2 linked regions of the Drosophila melanogaster genome follow. The protein of the gene in region 1 interacts with the protein of each later gene in a pairwise test. Each region holds a gene or a part of one and is shown on either strand. Other genes may lie near its edges. The genes, in order: CG34376 and CG32121.

The links.
Region 2: the proteins of CG34376 (region 1) and CG32121 interact in a two-hybrid assay, tested with the Drosophila melanogaster proteins (one study listed by BioGRID).

The regions. Positions count from the first base shown.
Region 1 is NT_033777.3:22,441,259-22,458,362, forward strand, and holds the start of CG34376 (uncharacterized protein), read left to right. Parts: upstream 1-6,840; 5' UTR 6,841-7,157; coding exon 7,158-7,362; intron 7,363-15,292; coding exon 15,293-16,219; intron 16,220-17,062; coding exon 17,063-17,104. Other genes in the region: CG12499 (uncharacterized protein), read right to left, coding at 1-4,828, 4,881-5,274; CG34288 (uncharacterized protein), read right to left, coding at 5,714-5,877, 5,943-5,958.
Region 2 is NT_037436.4:13,420,504-13,424,103, reverse strand, and holds the start of CG32121 (uncharacterized protein), read left to right. Parts: upstream 1-1,767; 5' UTR 1,768-1,782; intron 1,783-3,600. Other genes in the region: CG33263 (uncharacterized protein), read left to right, coding at 1-619.

The sequences.
Region 1 (17,104 bases):
AGCCAGGAGTTTCTCAGATCAGCCAATCCTGCCTGAATGTTCTCATAGGCCTGCGTCCACAGCGGACGCTCGTAGAAATTGGAGAGCTCGAAATGAGCACGATAGCGTTGCTGGCAACTGGCAGCCGCCAGTCTCATGTCCTTGTCCAGAGATGATAGACCGCAGAAGGTGATCGCCAGTAATCCATTCTGGACAGGCCAACGGGCCCACACTACGGACTCGGGTGCAAAGCAGTGCATCATCAGGGGTAACAGGAAGGCGGGATCGTAGCAGGTCTCGTATATAGTCTCGCGCTTCGGGCAAATTCGTCGTAAATCCTGTGGGAAATCTAGCTGACCCTGCTCCACCATTTGCTCCAACTGATTGTCGCCAAAGCTCATGGATTTCTTAGCAGGATTTTGAAACTCCGTGGAGGGTAGTTGTTGGCTAGCATGGAGGCTTCTCCAAATCGGGAAATTTTCAATGGTGTACTCGCTAGTCTCTCGAACAATCAGGGCTAGCACCTGAGCCACATTCGTCTCCTGCTGTTGCAGCCTGGTTCGCACATCCTCGTCCGCAGCCCTCAGGGCATAATGGGCCACAGCACTTTCGCCCCAAATGAAAGGTCTAAACTTATCCAAGCCCACGTCAAAGCGTTCGTAGTGCTCCAGCAGTGCTAATCCATATCGATCCGCAGGTGACAGTTTTGCATGATAGGAGCCAAGGATTACGGGTATGTGATCAGATTGCAGGGCACTAGGAGCCTTTCTGGCCAACACCTCCATTAGGTGTAAAATGTGCGTTTTGGTTTCACTTGGCTTGCCTAAGAGATGGTCAAAACAGCAGGAGTGCGTGCAAATCATTTCGTATAGAAGTGTTGGTGTTGCATCCTCCTCCTGCTGTGCATCCTCCTTATATTCATCATACATTCCATCACACAGGAAGGCCATCAGCTTTAGAACAAGCCCATTTGTTTCATCCTGAAGTGGCAATCGTTCCTCGCCGAGGTGAAGGGCCAACTTTAAGCTACTCTTGCAAAAGTTAAGCCACTGCGGGTTCTTTTGCAAGCGACTCCAGTCCAAGGGTAGATCGTCGGTCCGATTCGTCTTCCACCACTCGTAACAGTTCCACGAGATTTGCTCTAGCTTAGGCAGATCCAAAGCCTGTTTCTTCAAATCCAGTGCTAACAGTTGAACATTAAGGTTTATATAATTAACAAAGACGGTGGCCTTTTGCTTTTCATCCTTAGCGGCAGCAAAGCCCTGCCAGTAAATCTCACGCAGGACTCGCACCTGGAAAAGTTCCACGGAATCGAGCTTCAGTTGTTTCTGGCAGTAATCGAAGCACTCAGACTTTGGCATGCAAAGTGCAATAAGAAGAGCGCTAGCCTCCGAATGCTCCCGGTAAATTAGGGCAGCCTTCTGTGGCTTCTCGATGCTCTTCATGAAGCCGTTCTTGTAGGTCTGATAGCAACGTTGAAGCACTGGTAGAGGTATCTGATAGTTCTTCGTCAGAGCAATATCCAGGAGGGGGTACACCAAATCCTTTTGCTCCAAATTGCTTGGCAGTAACTCTGCGAATGTTTCAGCTAATCGGGGCTGGCGCTCGAGCAGCAAGCAGGCCAAACGAATGGCGGATTTGCTGAGTTTTCGAGAGGATGTAAAGAAACAGGCAAAGAACTCACTGTCGCACTCATCCATGTGATGATGGTAATTGAGCAAAAACTCCAAGACGGCCAACTCAAATGGTTCCAGTTGCTGTTCATTCAGCTCGCCGAAGTCCTTGTAGAAGGTCAGGATTAATTTAAATGACTTCCCGCAATCAATGGGCTCCTTTAACGTGTTCAATCGACCCAGCAAACGTAGAAGTAGATCAAAGTAATGATTTGGTTTACCATTCGGAATGCAGTCCTTTGCTTGCACTTTGGTTGTTAGCAAGTCCAGCATTTGAGAGCATTGATCAGAATTGAATTCAAATGAATCCACCAATTTCACACACTCGTCGAGCTGCTGCTGATTTCCCAACTGGTCCACCGGTGTATCCAAAGCAATATCCAGGGTCTTAATCAAGTGCAAGCGATAGTTGGCAGTATAGGTCTCGAATCGAGGCAAGCTGCGGCAATGCTCCATTAATCTCCTGAGGAAGATAACATAGTTCAAGCGAGATTCGCTCGTCTCACTAAGCAATTCAGTGGGGTGCAATTGCCACAGACGATGGTTAAATATATAGTGCAGCATACTTTGAGTAAAATTTTCGTCCTGCTGCTCATCATCCGACTCCTGAACTTCTTCTGGCCCATCTACCTGACTGGCAATTTGAAGGAATTTAATAAGAAAATCTGCTGTCAGCTCTGCTTGAGGTTTGCTTAATTTCTGGCTGGTGAAGAAATGGCTAAAAACGAAAAGCAAATCCTGGACGTAGATCATATTGCGACGTGGATTTCCGAGGGAGGAATGCAACAACATTGTCTGGCCCTCTTCTAGTTGTAGCTCGAAGTTGTTTTCCGTATCATCCATTTTAAATACCTGCTCGAATGACATGTTTTCACTTTCGGTGCTAACCTTTCGCATTTGCTTAAGCAAGGGCCATTTATCAAATATAAGGTGGGGAAGTTTCTTTGGTTTACCATTTCCTTCACCAGGCAGCCAACTCTTCATATAGTTAGTGTGCTTGCTTAAGTTATCCTCGTACATTTGCAGCACTATTTCCGGCTTGCTGTGATAGTGGAAAAGCAGAACAAATACTAGCTCCACATATTCGTCGTATGGTTCCTCCAATTCTACACCCTTTAGCAACAGCGGCATCATCTTGCTAAGGGTAAGAGTTTCCACATAAGCTTGCACTGTTTGACCTTGCTCAATTTGAGCAAACAATTTGCTCAGGTTCTTGGTGATTATGGCAGTATCCGTAACGCTTTGTTCAGGAAGCTCAATCTGTCTCCAATCCAAACAGAGTATGGTCAGCAGAATCTCTACTACGTTGGTCACCGTAGCGGGACCGAATCCAATAAGGGCCTCTATCCAGATATTGATCTCATGCCTGCAGGAGTCAAACATCCCTGTGTTTTGGAACAGCCGACTCAATATGTTTCCAGACTCCGATTTGATTGATTTTTCCTCCAACATGTAGGCTTTTATGAATGATTTGAATACGTTCCCGAAAAGCGGTTGGGTTGGGTTCAAGGAGTGCGGAAAGAGCAGCAGGATGGTTTTAATCGACTTCAGTTCTAATTGAATCTTCAAGAGCTCTTCCGGTTGATTCAGTTTGTCAAAATCAGTTTCGTATAGGGGTCGCAACACATCCAAATAATCCAGAATCTGACTTGTCTTATTCACAAACGCTCGATTCTCCTTGCAGAGTAGCATCACCAGATCTAAAGTGATTGATAAACTCTCAAGTACATTCACTCCTTCCACGTTTTTCTGTTTGATGAACATGTAAAGCGAATATAGGATGGACTCGATAGTGGGAAAATGCACCAGCAGATGGTTAAGTAAATCGAACTTAAATTTACGCAGCGAGTTGCCGGCTTTTTTTGATTGCTCTCGGACAGCAATGGCATTCATATAGTTGCTGTACTGTTTCATCATGGAAAGCAGCAGACGCAGTACAGCCAATCTCAAATTGAAGTCTGGATCGCTCAGGTACTTCTTACCCGTAATGTGAAGCAAAGCTTCGATGGGCAAACACAGCTCCTTGATCCAAAATGAGAAATCCGTTAGGGTCATCTTATCGAATGCTGCTGATAGAGCACTGGGCGGGACTGCATTAATGATTTGGGCGAGAAACGCCACAGCTATGGGCAAATCTTTCGGCTTGGTTTTGACCGGACTGAGCAGAGAGGAACAATTCCTCACTGTATTGCGTCCCAAGTCTGGACAAGCAGTTAGTGTTTGAATAACCAAATCCACTTTGCGCGGATTATCGTAGGGCTTGAATAGAGAGCCAAGTAATCTGCCCTGCAGTTTGTTTTGCTTTTGGCGGTAGTGCGTCATCGCATCAAAGCAGATGCCGTGCTTGCGGGAAGTCAAAAGGACTAGCAGGAGTTCGTGAACGGCAGCCGATACCGCTTCCGCCTCCTGTGGGTTTGGAGGTATCTTAGAAACATGTTTCGATTTAGCAAACATCACCTTGAGTCCCATGGGTCCCTCCCAATCGTAGAGGCGACGCAGATTTTTGCAGCACTCTAAATCGAAAACCAGAACCTTTTTGGTCTTCTGTATTTCGGGGTTCTCCAGCACATATTGCCGTAGTGCGTTAAGCACCACGCAGACGGTTACGTGGTCATCGTAAACCAATCCCTTGGCCAGCACACCAATTAGTTGCCCTCGATCCAGGATGTTCCGGATAAGTAGAGTATTGCCCTCGACCAGGAAGGCCAAAATAAAGAGAATAAACGCTTTGCGCACTGTATCCTCGCATTGGTATTCACTTTTTTCATGGGACAGCAATTTCTGCGTCACAGTCACGTTGGAAAGCACATCATACGAATTCAGAACTTGGCGGGCCAATTGAGGCTCCACGCACACAATAGCGGTGAGCAGTTTTAGGGCATTACGCCGATGGCCTAGCTGCATTGATTTCATTTGATTTTCGAGCACTCCTCCGTGAACCTTGAGAAAATATCTACACCCGTGGACAGCCGACTCCATGTGGCTCTTCTGGTTGGTAAGTATTTCCATCAAAACTCGGTGCAAAGCCTCTGTGAGGTAGTCCACGTGAAATAAATTAGTCTTATCGATCCTTTCGAATGCTTCTGCTAACTCCAAGGGCTTTCCACGCTTTTCTATGTACTTAGCCGCAAGCTTAGGACGCGTGGTTGAGCACATGTGCAGGAAGTGTCGCAGTTCTGGAATTGGGATTCGTGAGTTAGCGATCTTTTATTGAACGTATTAACCCACCTGTTATGAAGTTATTGCCGCGAAGCTTGGTTCGAAAGTGCATCATCTTAAAGTCGTTGGGAAAGTGTATGCGGGATTCTTCGGGATCAATCCCGGAATCGCGACTTATTTCATCCTCAGCCATCTCCACTTCCACCTGTTGTTCTACACTTGTGTCGGATGTCTTTGTCTTTTTAGACTTCTTCTTTGATGGAGTGGAGTCAGCAGGATCGGTTTCAGTGCTTTCCAGCGTGGATTCATCGAATGATTCCTTAGTTTTATCCTTCTTTTTCTTTTTCTTCGGTGTGTCGGACTCCTTGGCCAGTTTTTTGGGCACCTCCACTTCACCTTCATCCTCTTGCTCAGCAGTTGTCTCCTCGTGCCTTCTCTTTCTTCGATTGGGTTGAATGGCCATTTTGCTTTAATAATAATATTATAAATTATATTTGCCTATTTACAGCATAAATCGTTTAAAATTTAAGTTAAACACAAAAACAGCCGCACACACGTGCTGGCAGAGAATGGTATGACCCTTTTTAAAATACCGAAAAATACCGCCCTTGTTTCAGTGTTGTATAGGGCGACACTTGGCGCGCTAAAATATAAACTGGCGAAACAGGAAAAAAAACAGAACAGCAACTTATTCAAAGAGATTAAAGTTATGATTTAATTTACCAACAATTTTATACTCTCCAACAATAAACAACGTATTTTACTACAATACTAACTACAAAGGGTGCACAACTTTGAAAAAACCACATCTCGGCACGGAATGACTCATAATCCAATCTGCCATTTGGCAAATTTACAGTTTTCCCTGGACGTGAACGTTTTTTCTGTTCCTTTAACCACGTCTAGTCATCCTCGAGGGCCGCATTGGTGGCTCCTCCAGATCCATATCCAGATCCTGCAGGAGCCGTGCTAGTCACCGATCCAGAAATCGGGAATTCTGGCAGAGTGGAGCGTTGTTTGGCTGGAGCCGGCGGAACCGCGGGCAAATCGACTGATTTACTTTTGCCTGCAAGTACACAACTATTATTAGTCGCTGTTATTGCCTTCTGAAGATAGCTGCAAATCACTTACCAAAACAACAACCCATTATGGTATACTCTTTACTGATTCTCGGGACGAGTGGGCTAATTTGCTGAAAGTTCTTTGAGCACTAAATCGGGCAAATCAAATCGGTGGCCAATTGACTGGGTGCGTATGTGTGCACCTGAGGCGTACAAACGACTCATGGCTAATTGATAAGCCCTGCTGTTACTTTTATTCTCTTTTTGTTTAAAATGTAAAGTGGGTTATTTATGACACCATGGGTAGGTCTGCTATCAACAGTGTAGTTCCCCATCGGCCGTATTAGCATCGTGCAAAGAACCGTAGAACTGTGATAAAAGCGGACAATGCCGGTCGGATATAACCGCAACGAAGCGACCAACAAACCAATTGCGATAAGCTCTTATCAGGGGAAAACGTTTTCAATGCTCTCTAATTGGCGCTAAATATTCAATTGTCGTTATGATATCGTTTATCGAAAAGGCTATCGATTGAAAATTCCGCTCTTGTGGGCCAGATTTCAAAAACGCTTAGAAGCATTTGACAATTCAAGCAATTTACGTAGTAATTGCGAACATTTTTAACAAATTAGTAGTTAACATACATTTTACAAAAATATATATTTGCAGGATTTATAATCTCTTTAGAATTATTATTTCTGTATAAAATCCCAGAATTTCATTCCTCTCTAACGTTTTTCTTTGTGATAACAGTTTTGATTGTTAATCAAATTTTTATAGCTGGAATTAAAGTTCAGCAAACATTTTCGTTTGTTTACCAGTGGCCAGTGAGACCGTTCGCTGTGGCGCCTAAAAAACCAACATTTCACTGTTCCTCAAAGTGCGGGGGGGTGGTGCGTTCATTATCAGCCGGAACGTAAACAGCGTCGCTGCTTTTCACGCTTTCCGATAAAAATGTTTAAATCACACTGTGTTAATTAGAGCCCAAATCAAAATCAATGCGCCCGTGGACGCGAACGACTCGAGATCGTGTGCGCGTGAATGCGGATCGAGTAGTTGGTAGCTAGTTTATCAAATTCGAACCCTTGATATAATAAAAATAAAGGTGCGCGAGAATACGTGAATTGCGATTTTTGGCCCGTGAACGAATCACGAGCAAAGCGGATAAACAAAAGCCATAAAAAACAGATTCGCACGAGAATCATCGCAAAAGTCTGTGCGCATAAATTACGCTCCCCAATTGGAATTGGAAAAGTCTGGTTTTCGGCGAGCATCCGCATCCGCGATGGACGACGAGTTTAAGCTGTGCTGGAAGAACTTCCAGGACAACATAGCCAGCGGCTTCCAGAATTTGTACGACCGCGGCGACCTGGTGGACGTGACCCTCGCCTGCGATGGAAAGCTCCTCCATGCCCACAAGATAGTGCTGGCTATCTGCAGCCCCTACTTCCAGGAGATATTCACTACCAATCCCTGCAAGCATCCCATCAGTGAGTACACCGATTAGGCAGCACAAGATTGCGGCCCCATCGCCGGCGTCCCCGGTTTAAATGCTAAGTTATGCAGCGTGGCTTACATTGTCAGCGCGGCATTTATATGTGTATTTTGATACTGGGCACGGAAGTGGTCTTCCAGAAATTGGTCAAGTTTAATGTTCCGAGCTTTCGTTGCCATGCATATGGATGATCCTAATGGAACATTGAGTGCGTAACTGAAGGATTCGGGTTTCTTACAAATTGCTTGGCTCTTGGCATTGCAAATACATTGTAGACATATTTTCTTGGAATTTTAATAAGCCGGAAAAGAGTCTGACTATTCGCTGGGCTATTTCATACCCTTCACATACATACATAGTCTGTATAATGCCAGGGAAGAGTGACTGCTGGTTACTTGGTCAAGCATATTCCCCCAGAAATCGGTCAGTTTATCACTGGGACAGCGGTGTCAGTTTATCGAGGAGCCCGCCCGTCAGCCTGTCTGTTCATCACTCTTGTCAAACGCTTAGATATAAATCAACCTTTGTGTTAAATTCCATGACACATTCGGTGGTTATCAGCCCAGCTCCACCGCCAGTTCGATTCCGAGTTCCAGACGAGCGTCCCAGCACGACTACGTCTGTCTTTACAGTATCGCTACCATAAATCCAACTATACCCGCCCTATTAACTTTACACTTTATTTCATAAGCCTAACTTGCCTTTTTTTTAGCATACAAAGTAATCAATCGAATAATATTGTTAGTCGTTTGATGGATCGCCCATTAAAATTAAGTAGTGCAGCGATATTAGGAAGATTATAAATCGTTTATGCAAATGCATTAAGGTTTATCCAGCCTACAGTTATCTAAAGACTTTGTAATGAACTGTAATCATTTGATAACCGATTTGATTTACTAATCCAATTCAGGGTAATATAATCCAATTCGTAATATCTGTCCGTTTCTGATTCATGTTCCAGTTAGTGAAGTTTGACTGTAGAGTCGTAAATCTAAAGACAAACAGCAGCAACCCACTAAGAATCGAGGTCTGGTGATAATCCTCCGGTGAGCCGGAGTGCCGCCGCGTTGTCTATGCCTGTGTGGTAGCTGCCGGAGTCCTCCGCCTCCGGAGGCACACCGGGATTGTTTACCCACGCCACGCACGGAGTATCCACCGGCGGAGGGAGTATCGTGATAAGGTCCATGGCAAGAGAGCGCAGAGTCGGAGCCGCAGCCCACTTCGATCGGATCGGGGAGATTGGGTGCGTTGCTGACCTCATCAAATGTACTTCAAATGGACTCTAGAACGGTGGTGTACTACTATTTATGTACGCTATATGGTGTATGGATATGATATCGCCGCGGCCCCTCCTGGTCGGTACGATTCCGATTTCGTTCGCAGTCGTGTTGAACACGGCTGCCTGCTGCACGGTGGCTTTATCTGATCAGGCGGCCATAAAAAATAAGGTTTTATCTTTTCAAGTAGCTGCAGGAAGGTGCTACCTACCCACAAACGCTGCTACAAGAGGTATTTCCAAAGATAAAGAATATTAATATACCCTATAAATAACGGCGAACCCAAGCGGGGGCAAGCTATTAAATGTAGACCAGCCCAGCCAACAACAGTCATCGAGGTGCTAACAAGCCAAATGGCTATGTGTTTGTTCCGTGTGTAACACGCAGAAACAACAACAATAGTCGAAATATTTTTTATCTTTTTATCGCGTTTAACAATCATTTATTGCCCAACTGAGTAACTGAGTGCCCGCCCGCCCACTCCTTCACCCTTACAGCCACTCGAAGAATTTAGTTTAGTCGAGATATTGATTAGAGAGCCTCGCAACATATATACGTGTTTCCGCTGCTCCGGACGTGTAAATCAATCCACACTGTGCCGTTCCAAGTGGTTATATCTGGCCAACAGTCACAGTCCCCAATACAATGCTAATCCTCCAAAATTATCTATTTATTATTGGCATAAACAAGACGGACATAGCTCAAAGAAGCTGGGGTCGGAAAAATCGAATTTTTGAAATTTGAAAGCTGGAATCGTTTGCCCATTTTTTGCCCATGTTTGCCCACCAATTAGTTTTTTTTGCCCACGTCCAGTTTTTGAGATATGAATTTTCGAAAAAGTTCGAAAATTTTCGAAAATCAAAAATTTCGCTTTTTTCAAAATTTTTTTTTTTTAAATCGCAATAACATCGTTTGCCCACGTTTGCCCACCCTTTAGAATTTTGAAAAAATGTATACTTTAGAAAATATAAGGCTTTTAAGTTTACCTCGGTCTAATCAGAGAGTAAATCGTTTGCCCATCTCTTAAAACCAAATATTATCAACAAAAAACGTTTGCCCAACAATTATTATTAGTTTTTATCGTTTGCCCACCCTTTAAAAAACCTTTAACAAAAATTTTTTTTCGATTGCCCACATTTAAAATACAACCAATTTCCTTAGCCAACCTCTTTAAAATAAAAATTTCCAATAAAAAAAGTTTGCCCACCATTTAAAACTAAATAATTTCGATTGCCCACCTTTTAAAACTAAATAATTTCGTTTGCCCATCCTTTAAAATTCATTTTTAACGTTTGCCCACCCTTTAAAAATAAATTATTTCGTTTGCCCACCCTTTAAAATTTGTTTTTTTCGTTTGCCCACCTCTTAAAAATGGTTTTTTCGATTTTTCACCTATTAAAAATAAATTTGTACATATGTATGTAATAATTGTAAGATGTGGCGTCAAAAGCACAGTTACTTACAAAAGAACAGTTATTTACATATTTACATACATTTTCAATATATCCATAGTGTTAATCATTCATGAATTGTAACATCAATTTTTCTTAATCATTGTTTCATTTCATGGAAAATATTTTATATTGCAATATAATATATATGCAAAAAAATGTATGTATGTTTATCAACACTCTCCAAGCTCAAGAAAATTCTGGAATAAAATATTTTCGAAATTATTTAGTTTTAAGAGTGGGCAAACGAAAAAAACAAATTTTAAAGGGTGGGCAAACGAAATAATTTATTTTTAAAGGGTGGGCAAACGTTAAAAATGAATTTTAAAGGATGGGCAAACGAAATTATTTAGTTTTAAAAGGTGGGCAATCGAAATTATTTAGTTTTAAGAGTGGGCAAACGAAAAAAACAAATTTTAAAGGGTGGGCAAACGAAATAATTTATTTTTAAAGGGTGGGCAAACGTTAAAAATGAATTTTAAAGGATGGGCAAACGAAATTATTTAGTTTTAAAAGGTGGGCAATCGAAATTATTTAGTTTTAAGAGTGGGCAAACGAAAAAAACAAATTTTAAAGGGTGGGCAAACGAAATAATTTATTTTTAAAGGGTGGGCAAACGTTAAAAATGAATTTTAAAGGATGGGCAAACGAAATTATTTAGTTTTAAAAGGTGGGCAATCGAAATTATTTAGTTTTAAGAGTGGGCAAACGAAAAAAACAAATTTTAAAGGGTGGGCAAACGAAATAATTTATTTTTAAAGGGTGGGCAAACGTTAAAAATGAATTTTAAAGGATGGGCAAACGAAATTATTTAGTTTTAAAAGGTGGGCAATCGAAATTATTTAGTTTTAAGAGTGGGCAAACGAAAAAAACAAATTTTAAAGGGTGGGCAAACGAAATAATTTATTTTTAAAGGGTGGGCAAACGTTAAAAATGAATTTTAAAGGATGGGCAAACGAAATTATTTAGTTTTAAAAGGTGGGCAATCGAAATTATTTAGTTTTAAGAGTGGGCAAACGAAAAAAACAAATTTTAAAGGGTGGGCAAACGAAATAATTTATTTTTAAAGGGTGGGCAAACGTTAAAAATGAATTTTAAAGGATGGGCAAACGAAATTATTTAGTTTTAAAAGGTGGGCAATCGAAATTATTTAGTTTTAAGAGTGGGCAAACGAAAAAAACAAATTTTAAAGGGTGGGCAAACGAAATAATTTATTTTTAAAGGGTGGGCAAACGTTAAAAATGAATTTTAAAGGATGGGCAAACGAAATTATTTAGTTTTAAAAGGTGGGCAATCGAAATTATTTAGTTTTAAATGGTGGGCAAACTTTTTTTATTGGAAATTTTTATTTTAAAGAGGTTGGCTAAGGAAATTGGTTGTATTTTAAATGTGGGCAATCGAAAAAAAATTTTTGTTAAAGGTTTTTTAAAGGGTGGGCAAACGATAAAAACTAATAATAATGGTTGGGCAAACGTTTTTTGTTGATAATATTTGGTTTTAAGAGATGGGCAAACGATTTACTCTCTGATTAGACCGAGGTAAACTTAAAAGCCTTATATTTTCTAAAGTATAAATTTTTTCAAAATTCTAAAGGGTGGGCAAACGTGGGCAAACGATGTTATTGCGATTTAAAAAAAAAAATTTTGAAAAAAGCGAAATTTTTGATTTTCGAAAATTTTCGAACTTTTTCGAAAATTCATATCTCAAAAACTGGACGTGGGCAAAAAAAACTAATTGGTGGGCAAACATGGGCAAAAAATGGGCAAACGATTCCAGCTTTCAAATTTCAAAAATTCGATTTTTCCGACCCCAGCTTCTTTGAGCTGACGGACATCGTCTGGGGGCAATCGTTTTATCAGCCCAGCGTTTAGTGCCAACCACTTTACTTTGGGTATCACTCTTGATCGTAAAATAAGATTTTGAACTTATTGCTCGTTAGATAACGCACTCAGACAGCCGCAGCATGTGCCATGTGTGATATTGGGCCTCTCCAAGAACCAGGTCCAAGCCACTTCCCTTCCAAATCCCCGTTGCCATGTAGTCCCCTAACCACCTGGCCACCTGGCAATTCCCACTCCCGATTTGAAGTAGCTACGGCGATCGAATATAGCCGCGGTTGCTTACCAGCCAGCGTTTGGGTTCGGAAGATAATATAATATCGATTCGCCGGCTGGACTTGTCGTAAATATTAAACACCCAATGTTATTAATATATTGCCGCACCGTGACTAAAAACAAAGTCGTCGTGCTATTTTTTTTCCCAACGCTTCAGAGGGGGTAAAAAATTTTTATTGATCGCTGCACTATTTATTTGGGCAAAATAATCCATTTTTGGCCACGTTGGACTTTGAGTTTCGGTGCGTTCTTAACCCCTAATCTTGAATTTGTTTATTTCGATGTTATACGCTTGCCAAGATTATCAAAAGTGTTTGAATTGGTCGGCAACGAAGGATTGGGTCTTGTGGCAGGTAAAGATAGCTAGTTTTTGAGTTTTCAAAAAATCTGAGATTGGTACTAAAATTAGGAAATAAAGGAATTCACTTTTTTGATAATTTAGTAATGATGATCTTCGCAAAAACGAAAGATCAGCATTTTATAGTACACTTAAATGAAATATTTTGAAACTTTCACTCAAATATTAAGATGAGTTGTAGTAATGCTTACTGCCTAATCTACTTAACGCTTTTAAATTCGTTAATACAATTGAATTATCGAGTTTATAAACCCTTCTACATTTCCTGCTTCTGGGTTACCCAATCGATCGAATCGAAAGCTGTTTACGTACGTATTTTATGGTCTCTTCGTATTATATCAAACTTTGACTTTGAGCATATGAAATATCATAAATGCTTTTTTATTGCCCATATGTGTTGACAATTTGTAATTTATTGCCCTTGTAGAAGTTAGAAGCCAGTAGCTAGTGGCTAGTAGCCAATAGCCAGAAATCGCCAATGGCCAAGAAGTGGCAATCGACTAAGCTGGGCTAATCCCTGGGCCATTTGCGCTCCTTCGGGGCATTTCTTTTCGAAGAGAGTTTGGGGCGGAAAAGGGAGGTATCCGAATGGAAATCTATGACCAAGCTTTTGGGTTGGCTGGGCCTGTCGTTGGGCTTGTTGGCCTTTTATCAGGTTGCACTACCACCACAACGACAATTCGATTCGACTACTCGACTATTATGGCGTTCGGAGATAACAAATATTTATGAATGTTCGTGCGACGACATTGTCAAAATGAGGCAGCCCACTCCACTACAAGCCCGACGGCACTAAACGAATCGCTGAGGGTAACAACAATGGAACCTATTGGCGTTCTGATTCGATAAACATTTATCATAATCATAAAGTAAAACTGTTTCGAAATCGATCGCCTGCGATCCGATTGGTTGAACCATTTGGAGTGGGCGTGATCTTATTGGTGAGGGTGTTCGGGCCCCAAAACAAATCAAAAACGAGACTGAGGCAGATATCGCTGCAGTTCCCCAATTCCCCGGTACCCAATTCCCAATTCTAGCAGACGCTCTGATATCAGCAGAGATCACTGCGGGTCAGGCGACCATTAAATCCATATTCCCTGGTAGATGGTACCATACATACATATATGGCATACATTTGGGCAAACAGCGATCGAGCTGCGATGATCTGAGTTTTGGGTACTGTCGATTCCCTTATCGGCAGAGCATGCACGGATTTATCACGTTCTCCGTGAACTTTAGACAGAGTTTCTCTACGGTCGGGGTCCATAAATGGTTTATTGATTCGAAAGAATTTTGTATATGGATCTCTTTGTCTCGATTCACGCTCGTTCTTTATCTCCGGCGATGCTGGCCATGTGTCTCCATCTCCGTGAACGGAAAAGTGAGGCAAATGATAGTGATAGTGGTGTATACGGTGTGCCCTCAATGTGTAATCCCGTATCTATCTGGCATCAGTTGAGACCCGATGTGTGCACTGTACCCCTGGAGCAATACATATGTATATTGCCTGGATTTTGATCTTCGCCAGGCGATCACTCGGTCGAATACGGACATGCCAAGGCGCAGATAGATAGATAGGCGAGACGGAATGATCCGTAATGACGACTACGGCAAACGATAGGGCACAATTGATGTCGTCGTTCGGTCAGATTAAGCAACCAAGTTTGTCTGTTGCTGATCGGCGATTTAATATTGTATTTACATACAGTCGTACATATGCGATGTATGTACGCCTGTTTGTGTAATAAAATTGTTATTGAGAACAAGTGATAATATTGTTTTTAACTAGATGTTGATGCTGCTAGCGAGACATGCACAGTGGGCAGGGGTTGATGGGAAAGCGCTGATAAGAATCAGTTTCAGATCAGCAAATTCGAAATAATCTGTCAGAAAGAAGTACGAACCTAATCTGGAATCGGGTTCAAACACTTTAATTCACTTGTGAATCCTACTTTTGGCGGGAATGAAATGCTAAATGATGAATTAGCATAAATAATGACCTTGCATTTTTGGACTCATTAAAAAACATATTTATATTTAAAAACGATTGGGAACTTATATTATCACGGCTAAAACATATGTATAGGCATTTTTGAAACACATAAAACCACTTTGATGGCCCACTGTGAACTATGAAATATTGAAACTTATGTGGCATGATCTCGAACCACCCCTGAGATAACAGATCCGCACCACTGTGGAGCCGATCCGATTCGAATCCGGACAGCTCCACAGCTTCTTAGGACGAGTGGGGAGCACGCGGATGATATGTCATGCTACTTATTTTATAATTATTGCTGTGCTACTGCTACTGCGTTGCTGTTGTTGAGTTTATATTTAAGTTTTCAGATTTCTTATCATAGCTGTTTTTATGTATTGATTTAGTATTTGAGCGTTTCGATGATAACATCTCCACTACGAATGTGACCTCCTTTCCTACTGATGTTATTATTGTCGTTTTCAGTCTTTATGTAAACAAGCAATTACGTTGAATTATTTTTGGGAGAGGGAAAAACATAAAAACGGTTTGTAATCAGTCTGGAATCATTTAAAAAATCCCCTTTGGTTTTAAACGCAATTCGAATATTCTTTGCCTTGTTGATAAACACGTTTTTGGATTTTTCCAAAAATGTTGTTTGCTACTTATCTTAAAAAAAATACCCTGTCTAATAACAAAATGTGATTTTTGTTATAACTTGTTTTGTATATTCCCAAATCTTTCTAGTAATACTCAAGGATGTGAGTTTCAACATTATGATGGAGCTACTGGAGTTTATGTACCAAGGAGTGGTTAATGTTAAGCACACGGAGTTGCAGTCGTTCATGAAAATTGGACAGCTGCTGCAGATCAAGGGCTTGGCTACCAATTCGAATTCCTCGCCAGGATCGAGTGTCTCGGAGAAGTCCTCTAGTCAGCCACCGGCAGAAGAATCAAGCAACACCAACAGCACCAATCATCACAACTCTAGCACTAATAGCAATAACAATAGCAAATCGGAAACGGATCACAATGAGTCCAAAGGCCAGAGCAATTCAAGAACCACTTCGCCAGGTGGTGCCAGCAGAGCCTCCAACGATGCCAGCCACCTGTACACATCGAACAAACGTCCGATGCCGTCGGATTTTGGCAGCGATTCCCTGTCCATTTACTCCGGCAAGCAGTTGAGACGCTCCCTCAAGGATCACGGTTCCGGCGGAAGCGAAGGCGGCGGAGGCGATCACGCGGATACCGCAGCCGGATTGGACAACAGCATGAATTCAGAGGAGTTCTTCTTGCCACCCATTCCACAAATCACGATGGGAGAACAGCGCTACGATCTCGGAGGTCTGAAACGGGAATCGGATGGTCACCACCACGGTCCCTTGTCGGCTGGCGGAGGAAATTCGGGCAGCGTTGGCAGCCTCACCTCCTCGGCCTCACCGTCTGCACCCATCCGTAATCCCTTTGCCCCGAACTTCATGGACAGCTTCAACTACTACAAGGGCGGCAACAGCAGTGGTCCCAGCGGTAGTTCCAATAACTCGGTTGGCCCAGGTGGCGTCAATAACAATGGCTCCGTGGGCCTTGGCTCCGGCGCCGAGTACCCCAACGAACTGTATATGCCCAACGATTACTCCAAGAGCTTTGCCAACCACATGGACATTCCCTCAAGTAGGTGGCCTCCAGATTTGTGCCACTGGCACTATTTTTATCACTTTTCTGTTGCATGTAGCTTGGCATTCATATTGACTTATTGTTTTATTCTTTATAAGATTGGGCTATTATTTTGCATCCATCATTCGGCACATAATATAACACGATCATTCACACCACGTACACACTAGCCCACTGAACTCATTGTCACTAACCAGGAATGGAGCCAAATGGAGACCTAACAGAGCTGTCATTGATTGTAGAGGGATATTTGCTGATTTAACTGGGGTAAAAGTATTAACAGAAGTAAATACTTGAGCGTATAGTTAGATAAACATCAGATAGCTCTGATTGCCCGTGAGATTCAGTTGTTCGATCGACCTGGCAGACTGGTGGGCCTCAAGTTTTTCCACATGTTTTGCTGCAATTGTATCCAAGGGGTTGAAGACTATTCGATTTACTAGAGCAACCACACAATGCGGGGTTAAATATTTGGCTCAAAGTTTGCTTTAAATCGAAATATTTTAAATTAACTTAAAATGAGAACATACTAGGAAAAACTAGAGAGAACACTTACTTAAAGTACAACACTTTCAGCTGCATTTTGAACACACATTAAGTAGTGCTTTCAGTTTAAATACATTTAGTATTGGCTTTATAACGTGGTAAAATCGAATCCCTGTAACGCCTAACAATCCGCACAGTATCGAGAACACGCACACCCAATCGCATATTCCAAACGGAGGAGGAGCGTGACTCCTCCCCCACTATCCAATAGCTTGCCTCTTTCCCCTGTAAATAACACCCTTTGAGAGTCCAGCGAAGAACAGACCACTAATGATCCACCATTGTCCGGAGCAGGCGGCAGCAACATGGTGATGCTGTCCACCACCTCTCTGCTCC
Region 2 (3,600 bases), on another chromosome or scaffold:
CGAAGTTTTCCCGCAGTGCGCAAATGCTCCATTGGATACCTTTGTCATGGCCATCGAAGATTGCGCTTCATACATCTATTGCAATGGAGAAGACTCCTTCCGAGACAGCTGCCCCGAGTCCACCTACTTTGACGATCGAACCCAAGAGTGTGCCTTTGATGATGAGGGTGTGTGTCTAAGGAACTCAGACTCAGTCCAGACTGAGGAGCAGCCCGATAAGCAAACTACTGGTGAGGAGCAGAGCGGGATCGAAGAAACCACTCCCGTTCCAACACCGCCTTCTGATTACGCCTCTACAGGATCTGCGGACTCTTCTACTTTCCAAGCTGATTCTACAACAACCCCTACAGAATCAATTCCTTCAGTGACTGAGCCACCGACTACATCTGCTACGCCATCCTCCCCATCTGCAAAGCCTTCCTCTCCAGCTCAGGAAAGGCCGCACTGCGACATTTCCGGAGATGGTGACCATCCTCATCCCCAGCGGTGCGAGTACTACTACAGGTGCCTCAGCGGCTATCTGACCATTGTGAGATGTCCTTACAAGTATGGCTGGGACTTTCCTACAAAGCAATGCAAGCCTAGCAGCGAGGCTCAGTGCTTTAGTTATAGCTACTAGATTTATCTTTAGAAGCTCAACTTTGATCTAAATAAATTAGATTAGATTAGGCGATCTGTAGGTTGATTTCAAATCATTTTATTAACTTTTATACATTTATTTATATGTTCTTAAGATGAGGCTTTAACTTTGATCATAATCAAAAATAAATGAATAATTTCCTGTATGCACTTTATTTTTCTTTCTTAGAGTGTACATAGCAATCACGTGTGCATTTGCATTGTCAGTCAACTAGATAGTTGTTAGTGGTACTTTGACATTTAACGTACGTTTTATGTAAGGAATTATCCTTGAGTGAAGGGCTTATATACACATTGAGCTATTTACAGCCTCCAAGCTACGCGGCTGCTAACCCAAATCGAGGTGCGCACAGATGACAATAATAAATAAGTATTTGTGGCATTTTAATGAATTGAAAAGTGCATAATGAAGGTGCTGGGTGCCCGATGACCAACGGCGTCTCCATCTGGCGGTTCCATTTGTATTTGTCAGGCATAATTCACAAATCCAACGCGCAGGTATATGAATTTATTTTCGGCGGGCAATTTTCAAACGGCGGCAACTGCTGTCGCCGCTTCCACATTTTATTGCAAATTAATAATGCACACGATCCCGCAACAGTAGCAGCCGCCGCTGCACCAACAAATTCCTCCGCCTGTCGGCCAGTCGTGTCAATTGTGTCTAGTGGCGGAGTGGTCGCAGTTCCTGATTATGATGATGATGATGATGATGCCCTCATGATGATTTGCCACTGGCAAATGTTTTGATTAACTAACTGCGGGGCAGCCAATTAATTTTTGGCCAAGAGGCTTCACACTGATCGCGAGTACAAAACCGCTGAGATTTCTCTTCGCTGCGCCGATGCGGCCTGCTCATTAATTAAAGAACATGGAATCGGGCGACAAACGGATCCGCCCGACATGCTGAGAGCCAAATTCGAATCCGCTAAACAAATGGCAACAGCAGCAGCAACAACATTTGGGCCAACAGCAACACCAACAAGCAACAGCAGCAGCTACAACACCAACAACAGCAACACAAGATAGAGGAAAATTGTCAAGAGATGGACATTCGAAAAATAGAAAATCTCCAACTAAACCGAAAGAATTGAAACATTTTCGGATTTTTTCATTTCAGATGCGAGCAGCAAACGGTTAACAAAGGTGCACGCTTGTCCCGTCGCGAAAATCGCGAAAGGGAAAATTCGTAACGGACGCGGGGAAAATGGCATTAGCAAAATATGTGTGAAAAGCTAGAAAAAGAGAAAAATAAATAAAACAAAAATGTGAAGGATTCGTTTAACGAGAACCCAGTGATAAACATAGAACCGAGTGATTAAATTATTCAAGTAAATTGTGTAATGTCGCTGCGAGCACAAAAGGAGATCTTCAATGTGAAAGATAGATAAAAAACAAACTGCGTGTCATAAAAACACTACATAAAATAACATGAGTTGAGGGAAAATATTCAATTTGATGATCGCCACGAGCATCCCATTAGCATAAAAGAAGTCAATTCGAGATCCTCAACCATAAGGGTTAGCCATAGAGCTCTATTATTAGACTTCCCCAGGGGCAGATATGCTGGGCCACTGGATTATGCGTGATTCACATATACCGCTGATCGTGCGAATTCTATATTGAAATTCAAATACCTCTCGGAAAAAAACAGCGTTGACATCAAATTTATGTGCGCCACATTTCATGGAACAAATGAAAGTTAAACAACAATAACAAAGGCAACGCAGCGAAGGCTTAAGCATGATTTCATTTTCTATCCACTTCCCTCGACATTCTCAACGAGGCGTATGAGTGATTATGTGTAAAATATTACGCATCAACGAAATAGCTTCGAAATGAACCAAAGCTAAAGGCAAAGCCAAATCCAAATCGAAATGAAAACGATTGCGAGGTGCTTTGGAATGAATTGCCATGGATGACAAAAGGCAGGCACTTGGACAACAAATCAAAATAGACAGCATGGCGAGAGCGTTTAGCACAGATCTTTATTTTTTGGATGGCTATTTAAAACAACAGCCAGAGGACGGTACAGGAGAAGGAGGTGCCGAGCTGAAAGGCTGAAAAACTAATTTCGGAAAATCAAGTAAAAACTGAGCGAAATACCAAAGAGTTACGGAAAAGAAGGCTGCCTGACTGTCACGACAACACTTTCTTGTGTGAACGAGCGCCAAAAAGGCCGCGCCGCTCCTCCTCCGACCCTCCATCTCGAGTCGCCATCCACCCCAATCCCCATCCCTCCAATCCCATAGCCAGGCATCCATTGTACCCCATCAGGCATGGCATGGCAAGGCAACCTCCACCATCCATCGTCTCTCAATAGAGAAATGCTTAGATGCGATTCTCAGTCCCATGTGCACACATAATGGAATGAAGAAAATTCCGTCGTCCAACAATTGCACGCTGGGCTAGCTAAAGTGCAAAGAAAACCAAAAGACTCGGACTTGTCACTTCGCTGCGGATTTGCATTGGCCGGGCTGCCTGTTTTTGGGGGGCCTCCAATGGTCGTCGGTGCAGCAGCAGCAGCAGCAGCATAGACCGAGAAATCCCCAAAATCCCCCACATACCGACATACCCACCCCAGCTTCCTTGGACTAGCTTCTTATAAATAGCCCTCGGACAAAAGTGTGAACCGCCCGCCCGCCCAGTGCATCACATGCGATCCGAACAATGGAAATTGCCAAATTTATAGTGTACCCAGAAACCCACAGTGGCACTGCGATCAGATCGCCCAGGCCAGGCCAGCCAAGGAAAACTTATTTTATTTAAATAAATTTGGTTTAATTGCCAGCAAAGAACACAAATAACACTGGCCGTGTCTGTGCGTCTGTGTGTGTGCTGTTTTATTGTAATTCCGATTCGTCAACTGGGCACTCACCGAAACGGCCGAGTAAATCAGCCCGTTGACTTGGTCATCAAAACATAGAGGAGTACTCGACAATCCGGATACCTTGGAGGAGCTGG